2 linked regions of the Schizosaccharomyces pombe genome follow. The protein of the gene in region 1 interacts with the protein of each later gene in a biochemical or structural test. Each region holds a gene or a part of one and is shown on either strand. Other genes may lie near its edges.

What was found. Proteins that work in one complex are often made in the same cells at the same time.
Region 2: the proteins of alp6 (region 1) and kms2 form a complex in vitro, tested with the Schizosaccharomyces pombe proteins (one study listed by BioGRID).

What each region holds. Positions count from the first base shown.
Region 1 is NC_003423.3:480,400-485,828, reverse strand, and holds alp6 (gamma tubulin complex GCP3 subunit Alp6), read left to right. Parts: upstream 1-2,000; 5' UTR 2,001-2,122; coding exon 2,123-2,250; exon of another isoform or gene 2,251-2,289; coding exon 2,290-2,351; exon of another isoform or gene 2,352-2,391; coding exon 2,392-4,223; exon of another isoform or gene 4,224-4,276; coding exon 4,277-4,753; 3' UTR 4,754-4,881; downstream 4,882-5,429. Other genes in the region: Ctf18 RFC-like complex subunit Ctf18, read left to right, coding at 1-1,256, 1,337-1,467, 1,517-1,880; U3 snoRNP protein Utp15, read left to right, coding at 4,933-5,250.
Region 2 is NC_003423.3:646,436-651,036, forward strand, and holds kms2 (protein Kms2), read right to left. Parts: upstream 2,585-4,601; 5' UTR 2,555-2,584; coding exon 2,492-2,554; exon of another isoform or gene 2,449-2,491; coding exon 1,702-2,448; exon of another isoform or gene 1,636-1,701; coding exon 1,072-1,635; 3' UTR 501-1,071; downstream 1-500. Other genes in the region: rba50 (RNA polymerase II-associated protein), read right to left, coding at 1-143; DNA replication factor C complex subunit Elg1, read left to right, coding at 3,545-4,601.

The DNA of each region.
Region 1 (5,429 bases):
GGATAAAAGCTTGGGATCCTTGTGTGTTTGGAAAATCTCGATTACAGCCCTCAAAGAGTATGCGTTTTAACCCCAGATTTACTAATATCACTTCTGATAGTGATAGACCTGATAAACGGATTATGATGCTGACTGGACTGGCAGGTGCAGGTAAAACGACTTTGGCTCATGTTATTGCTCATCAGGCTGGATACAAAGTTTTGGAAATAAATGCTAGTGATGATCGTACTGCTCATACGGTTCATGAAAAGGTATCCTCTGCCATTAGCAATCATTCAGCCTTGTCATCTCAACCTACATGTGTTATAGTTGATGAAATTGACGGAGGTGATCCTGCATTCGTACGAGCACTTTTGAGTTTATTAGAGAGTGACGAAAAAGCGACTGAGTATTCTCAAGCTGGTAATTCAAAGAAAAAGAAAAAGTTTAAGAAACTTTGTCGTCCCATTATTTGCATTTGTAATGACTTATATACTCCAGCACTTCGACCTCTGCGACCATATGCTCAAATAATATATTTTCGACCACCTCCTCAAGCATCTCTTGTCGGTCGTTTAAGGACTATTTGCCGAAATGAAAATATAGCTGTTGACAGCCGCTCTTTGACTTTGCTGACAGATATCTATAATTCTGACATTCGAAGCTGTATCAACAGTTTACAACTTTTGTCTTTAAATAACAAACGTATAGATTCTGAGACCATAAAGCTTTTGCAACCAAAAAGTAATTCTTTTAGTACTTCTAGTTTAATCCAATCTCTTTTTTTACAACTTGATAATAAACAAATACGTGCAATTGAAGCATCGCAACCTACTTACTCACATTTGGACGCCCTCCTTGCAAGGATTGATGGAGCTAATGATTCTGAATCAGTCTTGATGAATTGTTTTCATACATACTTAGATCTTCCTTTTACTGATAGCTTACTTTCTAAACCTGCTTTGACAAGCGAGTGGCTTTACTTTTTCGACCAACTTCATTCACAATGTTATAAGGGAAATTATGAGTTATGGAGGTACATACCTTATTCCATTATTCATTTTCATTATTTGTATGCAACTCCTGAAAAGTGCCGCCTTCCGCATCCTCCCAGAAGTGATTTGGAAGCTTTAAAACTTTATCGTACTCGCAAAGAAATATTGGATTCATTCATATCGACGCTAAATGCTTATGAAAATCAAATGCATGGAGAAAGATCAATTCTTTTGGAACTTATCCGTACAATTTTAATTACCATAAATCCTACACTAAAACAGGTAAGGTCTATATATTTTAAAAAAAAAAAAAAAAAAAATTGCGTGAAACAATATTTTTTTAATTTACTAACTTTTTATAGAAAGAAGATTCTATGCCAAGGAGCGCTTTACCTTCTAAAATTGAGCATGCGATTAACATTTTAAATCATTATAATTTGCGTTTCCAACAGCTTCCCGTTGGAGATGGCAACTATGTGTATAGGCTTGAGCCGTAAGTTCCAATATTTTTATTTCTTTCTAGTAATAGCTAACGTTGACAGACCTTTGGATGAATTGGTTTGGGACGCACCTACAAGTTCATATTCTGTTCGTCAAATGCTATCTCAGGAACTGCTCAAGAAAAGGCTCGCAGACATTAAAAAACAAACCCTAACGGACAACCCCACTTCTTCGAATTCTTCAAGAAAGCGCAAAGATTTTAATTCCGGAAAAGCAATTAAGAGAGATTTTTTTGGCCGTATCATTTCTGAACCAAAATCTGAAGCAGTTACATCGAATAATGCAGCTTTGAATACAGGAGATCATCCAGTTTCCATCAAGCATGCAATCAATATCAAATTTCACGATGGGTTTTCCAATGCTGTGAGAAAACCAATATCGTTGAACGAGATTCTGAATTTCTAATCTAATGTGCATTAATATTTTTAATTTCAATCTTTTTGAAATAAAATCAATCATTTAATTTAAAAAAAAATCACTAGTAAAAATAGGTGTATGCGTAAATTCATCTAACCATTATTTCCTGACCGCGACTTCGGCGTGTACTTTGTCAATGGCTTTAAGATTTTGAGTTAACGATCAATACTTGTATTTCTCTATTTTAATTCAAAAATAAAAAAAATACTTTCGTCATTTGAAGTTCTCAAATGTCGGAGATTCATGTGAAAACTGCATTATCACGTCTGGCGGACAAGTATTTACAGAACTCCAAAAACCCTTCTGTCCCTTACACAATTGAAACGATCGTGTCTTTCTTTCAGGAAATAATTCACTCGTAAGCTAATTTCGTGTAAATGATCATGCTAACTGTTAGCATTTCTCCTGATACTTTTCAACTGGACATTGATGACATTCTGTACAAAATATATTCAAAAAGTATGTGAAGGTCTAAATACCAAAATTAACAGTTTTTTAGTTCCCCCCGAAGAAAACAATGATGCTTTATTTTCTAAATTATCTAACTTAGTTTCGCGTTTGAAAAGTCAAACGGTCATTCACAACAAATCTCAAATACTCTATTTCTTATACTTGCTCTCTCCTATTTCTCAGTCATCAAGAGATGTCTCCTCTCATTTATTAGATGAGTCTATTTCCAATCCTATCAATATTCCATCAACAGAAGTGGAATCCTCAAACTTTGGTCAGACACGTTACGATCAAGTTCCTGAAAACCCCCAAATTACTGATTGGGATGAAGGATTGGAAAATGAAAGTTCTATCTCAATTGCTCATGATTCATCTAGGCTAAACCGTAGTACTGAAACTTCTTCTGTTCAACATACTTTGATTACAGAAGCCGATTTGTTGTCTTCAATATCTTACGTACTTCAAGGAATTTCTACCGAATATGTTCAGTTTAAAAATGAATTAGCGCTGTTGTCTAAGAGAATACCTGTCCAATACCTTTTACAGATGCGAGCTCTTTCAGAGACAGGCTTATTATATCAGGAACTAAAGGTTTTCAGCAATTATGATCCTTCGGTCAGTCAATCCATTGATGGTGATAACGTTAGTAAAGCATTTATAAACGATCAGTCTTTAGCTTTACAAAGTTTAAAATCGGTCATTTCTAAAGAGCTGACTAATTTCCTTGCGTTAATTGCATCTCTGGATTCACAAATTCGAGCAGACGCTTCACTTGAGAAGCCTATGGTAACTATCCGGCGTTGCATTGCCTGGACGCAAGTTGCCAAGCTAAAACTTAGAATTTTGTCTTCAGTTGTTAATGATAATATGAACCAGGAGAATAAAAAAAGATTGATTCAAGTGGTTTCGAAATACAATGTGCATGGAGATCCGCTAATACAAGAATTGAGTGATAAAATACTAACAGAAATTACTGGACCTTTATACGAAATGATTGAAAACTGGATTTATAAAGGAGAATTGGTCGACCCTTATCAAGAATTTTTTGTTAAAGAAAAAAATGGTAGTGAAAGCCATGATCATCAAGGGCAAGGTGATGTCGTCTGGAAAGGTAAATATTTTTTAGACAAAGAGTTAATACCAAGTTTCCTTTCTGAAGAACTTGTCGACAAAATCTTTTTGATTGGAAAGAGTTTAAACTTCGCACGTTATGGATGTGGTGATTTTGACTGGGCACAAGAGCATTACCAGAAGCTAGTGAAAAAACTTAGTTATAGAGACCCTCATTCATTAGAAACAGTGGTTGATAAGGCGTATACTGAGTCCATTAATCACTTAGTATACTTGATGGAAGAGGTGTTTCATTTGACTGATCATTTAAAGGCTATCAAAAAATACCTTTTACTAGGACAAGGTGATTTTGTGGACTTATTAATGGAGAGCCTTGGTAATTCTTTGGATCAGCCGGCTAATACTTTGTTCAGACACAATTTGACTGCTTCTTTAGAAAGCGCCATTCGTTCAAGTAATGCATCTTATGAACCTGAATACGTATTAAAAAGATTGGATGCTAGGCTTCTGGAGCTTTCACATGGTGAAACTGGTTGGGATGTTTTTACGTTGGAGTATAAAGTTGATTCACCTATCAACGTAATAATAACACCATATTGCTCTAGACAATACTTAAAAATATTTAACTTTTTATGGAGGTTGAAACGAATTGAGTTTGCCCTTGCCCATTCCTGGAGGCGAGTAAATTTGGGCGAGCGAAATGTCTTCAGAAATCTGGATTACACAAAATTCGAATGGCATTTTGTCAGTTGTCATCTTGCGGAAATGATTCATTTTGTTTGTCAACTTCAATATTATATACTCTTTGAGGTAACGAAAAACCAAAACCCAATTTTGCATTGTATACTAACCATTGGAAACAGGTTATCGAAATTAGTTGGCAAGAATTACAGCTTGCTATGGAGAAACCAAACGCTACATTGGATACGTATATAGAGGCACATGAAAAATATGTTACTAGTATAACTCATAAGGGCTTGTTGGGTGGTGGTAAGTCAAGGAATGAAGATTCCTTCCTTCATCAGCTTCATGATATACTTAAAGTTATCTTAAACTTTCATGATGCAATTGAGTTGTTGTATAACTTTTCTTGCTCCCTGTCGAATAGAATTCGCATTAATGTACCAATTTCGACTGATGCTTTGGCAGCTCAATACACCCCTATAAAAAATGAACTCTCAAATTTTACTGAGGAATTCCAGGTTCGACTTCAAAAATTATTACATGGATTAGCTTCCCATAAGGACCCAGAAATGCGCTTTCTTTCCGTTCGTCTCAATTATAACGAATTCTACGTTTCTCATAGACGGCGTCATGATAAGGATGTTACCAGTCAATAAATGAGGTTCATGCATGATTATTTAAACTTTTATTACTCGTAGTAAACTATAAATTTAGTTATTAATATTTAATGTGATTTAACTATCGTTCAGCGGTGCTGTTTAATTTGCCTTTGCCAACCACCAACACCACCCACCCATTTGGTTAACTTTTTTCAGCAACCACATATACGGATATCATGTCCGCGCCTGCTGGTAGACTTCAACCTCAGCGTTTTGCTGCTTTACCTAATCCCGTTACTGCTGAAAATAAATTTTGGCGGTCATTCAAGGTTCCTGTCGTTGCCAAGGAATATAGTGCTATCACTAGTATTCATTTTTCCGCTGAATCCCCTTATGACTTTGCAGTAACTAGTGGGGCTCGTGTACAAATTTATGGAGCTAGTTCAAGGTCTGTTAAAAAAACAATTGCTCGATTTAAGGATACCGCATATTCTGGTAACATTAGAAAGGATGGAAAACTTTTGCTTGCAGGAGATGCTACAGGACTTGTACAGGTAAGTCTACATTACCAAAAGCTTTGAAAGATAGTTGCAATTAAAACGTTGATAAGCTGCACATGGAATTTTGTTAGTTTAGTTTAGCTGATTGAAGCTGTCATTTGCTAGTATATAGCTAAAAAAATACCATTTTTCCGGTGTTTGTCAACGCTTTAAACTTACTTTAGAGGTTTTCT
Region 2 (4,601 bases), 170 kb from region 1:
TCTCGTTTCGGCAATGTTCGTGAAACGGCTGGAAATCCCCTAGCATGCCGCTGAACTGACCTCTTCACTTCAACAAGTTGCTTCGGCGGTTTTTCAACAATATCACCTATCACATTTGAGAATACACTCCTGTGATTCTCCATAGCGATTGAATTTTGAAAATATCTGCTTTTTGTATGTAGATGTTTCCTTTTTATAAGAATTTAAGGGTCAATTTCTTCAAACCTCACGAATAAAGCCCTCTGAGATAGTATTATGAGATTCTGATTAAATGAATAATAAATACTTCAACCTTATGAGTTTTTTCTCCCTTTCACTATTTACATACCATTTGGTAGATTGCAGGGATGGTTACGTTTTCTCTCATTTTCTTAGCTATTTTGCGCTCACAAAATAACGGTACATCTCACTATATATGATAACGTAACTGTAAAAATTGATTTATTGTATGGAAAAAAAACTAAATGTTTACATGATATGAAAAATGGATGGTTTTTTCCTTTTTTAATTCAATACTTTTCATTTAATATTAAAAGTGCATAATAAATAATTAATTCGTGAAAAAGTTTTCTAGTTATAAAAGAGAAATTATGAGAAAGATAGTATCCGAGTTTAATAGGACTTGGGCTATCCTTGAAGATTAAAGAAAGAAAGAAGTTATTAGAAGAAACGACATTCATCCAAAAAGAAAAAATAGAGAACAGAAAAATGAGTGGCGAGTAGAAGATTAGACAAGAAAAGAATGATAAACACTAAAAATATTTCGTCTCAGAGAAAATATCTTAATTCAAACATAAAAACGAAAAACGTCGCTTTAACCCTTTTTCATATGACACACCTAAAACCAAACGCAGATGAGATGCGACTAATTATTAGCTCAATGTAAACTTCTTGTCCGTTGCCTATCAGGCGAAGAGTTAGAAGATACAGATCGTCTTGAATTGAGCAGAGCCCCATAAATACATCAATTATTCCAATATACATAAATCTTGAATCAATGTTCAATTATAGCAATTAAGTTTGGAATCCGTGCTTTGAAAATAAAAATTGGATTAAACTTGAATCTAAGATTCATGTCGGAGACCAACGATTGTCGAATTTTGTAGATGGTAACCAAAAAAGAAAAGGCCATTGTTGAATTGTTGCAACATGAAAAAACAAAAAATAAAAAATATGAATTCCGATGATGAACAACAATGAAAAAAATAAGACACGCAAAATTAAAGAATTGGGGAGTGAAACTTTGGAAAAAGCATTAGAGAGTATGGTGGAGGGAGATAAAAAATCTTTGGAAGACTTCTTTTTTAAGTTTTCGAACTTCTTTAACAGATTTTTTTGACTTTCAAGTTCTGATGCCAGTAAAGAGAGACCAGCGGCAAATTGGGAATCGTTCAAAGTCTCCGTTTTAGGGATGTAAGGGATGTGAAAGAAAGGGCTGGGAAAAGTAATTTTTAGATTTTGATACGGAGGGTGATTTTGGAAGGGTTGAGGCGCCTTTTCCTTAAAAAATAGTCTCAACTGCTCGTTTTCCAACTGAAGATGTGCAACCTTTTCTTCTAAAATCATGTTTGACTCCATAAAAGCGCCTCTTTCTTTTTGTTCCGACAAAGATTCTTTCTTCATGTAATCTGTTTCCTATTAAACAAATTAGTAAACTGGCTTGTCTCTACCTCGAATAAGGCATATTCTTAAAAATCATACCGTTTTCCTTTCCTTTTCTACAGCATGGATTAGCTCTTCCATTCTCACAATATGGGCTTGCTGTTGCTCATACTCTTCATGAATGGTTTGTAATTGAGCTGCATACTCCTTAGAATCACGAAGAGCTTCACGAAATTTTTTCTCCCAGGTTTTCGCTTGGGTATAACAAGACTTGCAAGCTTCTTCCGAAGAATCCAATTCCTCCAATAATTTTGCATTTCGCGCGTTTAGTTCTTTAACTTGCTCGTCTTTAGAACGTAATTCTGCCGCTTGAAGCTCTATCCTTTCATAAAGCTGTTGAATTAAAGAATCATCAGCATTTTCCTTGTTTATATGAGAAAATCCTTTATTTGATCCATATTCATTTTTAGTTCGAAACATTGACAAAGGGGTTGAATGACTCAAAGGTGATCCTTTTCTTGGTGTTATGTAACTTGCGTCTTGATAAAACATATCTTTTCTCTTTATTCGATTTTCTGATATTTTTTGAGGCTTCGCTACACTTTTTCTTGGTAATACCCCATTCTCGCGCAAAGCTAATTTGTTTACAGGAAGGGTATCAGGGTCAAGACCAGTTAACTCATAAAACAAATTCTTAATTTCACTCGTAGACACTACAATCTCACTGTTATCTTTTATAAAATCTTGGGCCGATTGTCTTTGCTCATTATCAAGCAAAGGGGCCTCTGGATTAAGTCGCAATGCGTCAACATCGTCGACAATTTCTAAAAATGCTTGAATGGAAACCTGTCGAAAATTAGAAACTATTTTTCAAGTAATGAGAAATTACTTTTCCTGTATAATCTGGGTCGTATTGGCGCACAATATCGTCAAAAGGGATGTATTCATCCATTTTGATTGTTTATTGACATGTGCTTTGGTTAAACAGAATTAGTATAAAGGCAGGTTTGTTAACGATAACTTGTGCGATTTTCTTATTTTTGTAATGTAATGCAGAACAATACGTTATAGAAGTTGCCTTAAAAAAGTAAACAAAGTGCAAGTCAAAACATAAACAGGATATTTTAGCAAAATGTTGCAGTACGAAATGTATAAAATTGTTAGCAAAATCATCTTCAAAATAAATTATTTTTTACTGATTGAGTTAAAGTGGAAGGAAAGCTTTACACTTACCTTTTTTTAAAAAACAAACAAATAAATAAACAGATAAACAAATGTGATCCGTTTCTTGAATCTAGATTTACTTAATTGAAGTAAATAGACTACTTAACTTAGAAAATTTACTACAATCATAAACAAGTGAAATTCTGCTCTCCTTTATTTTACAACGATGCACAAAAAGTTAGTCAGCGTTCCGACTAATTGGCGGTAGTAGAAATAGTAATTATACAAATTCTTTAAAATTTTCTAAAAAGTATATTAGTATCAAATTTTTCTTTTGACTATTTCACTGATTATGTTAGGCTATGGATTAATAGCTATTGAACTCGGTTTTCTTTGCATGGAATAAGCAAACTCACATTAAAAGTTGGTAAGTCGTTTTTAAAAGAGATGAAAAAGCTTAACTGTGACGATTATATCTCCTACTTCTCTATTCAATTACTGACAGCTTACACATAACAATGATAATATGGAGGATCGTGTTGCTTCAATGGTGCAACGATATTTTATTTAGGAATTTCAGTAATCTAAAACATACTTAAAAATAAATAAATCTAAACTATAAGCTTATCGAATTCCCAATACTCGTTCACTAGTACACGGAGTCTTTGTCTACCTCTCCTTAACCAAACTGTTGAAAGCTGAGAAACCTGTGAAACTATTTCTAAAAATCATTCAAACTAGGACTTTTATTGAACTTATGCGGTGATTGAAGATCCCTATGCAAATTGTAGGCTATTTGTCTGCAGATTCGCAGAGTAATCCTGATTTAAAATCCGAAAATGAAGCAAAAGAAGAAAAGCCTATTGGGAGGAGACACACAATGTCACCAGTCCCTGCCACATCTGAAAATAAATATTTTGGCAAATCTCCTTTGTCAGGGTCTCGTAAACCTCGAAGAAGCCGATCACTTCATAAGGAACGTAGCTACATGAGGAAATTCTTTGATATGGATATGGAGGAAAGCAAAGACTTTGAAAATGATCAATCTTTACTAGTAACGCTTAAAGTATCGACTTCCTTGGGTCAAAAAATTGAGAATATATTACACCCAAAACTCAGCAATGATACCAACTCAACTGCCTTTCCGCCTGCTAAGTCGTCGGGAGAAGCATCAGATACTAATATTTTAGTTGAGAATATTAATTCACAGGAAACAGTTAATTCTTCCCCCCTTGTTTCCGAGTTACATTATTCAAACTTAGCAGATTCACCTAGTAATCTGCGAAATACTGTCACATCCATGCACCCGTTTTTCATGTCAAAGTCTGTGAAAAAGAATTCTGAAATCAAATTTGTAAGTGAAGAAAGAGGCGGTACTAAGCCAGAGAGGTTACTTGATCCATTATGGCCGACACCCGATTCCCAGAGTATGTTAGAGTATGCCGGCTCTATTGAGCCGAGTGTTTTCTGGTTTCCGAAAAAGCATTTAGAAGAAGCCATTTTAGAAGAGACCTCTCATCTTTCGTTTAAGGAGGTTCTTTCCTCCACCACCGCGAATATGATAACCCCATTAGCTGAGAAAAATAAAACAGAAGTATTACAGGTTACTCCTTCTAAACTTCATACTTTTGCTTTGGAATCGTTGTGCTTTTCACCGGCTCCTTTTATTCAAAAGGTTTTGTCAAGACTTTTGCCATCAGATCCTAATGTTGAAATGCCAATGATCCCACAAATATTAGAAAAAGGACTGTGGGTGTCAAAATATGCTCCATCTAAAACACAAGATTGCTGTGCGTTCTCTCAATGCCTTTCGAAGATAGCGGATTGGCTAAGGT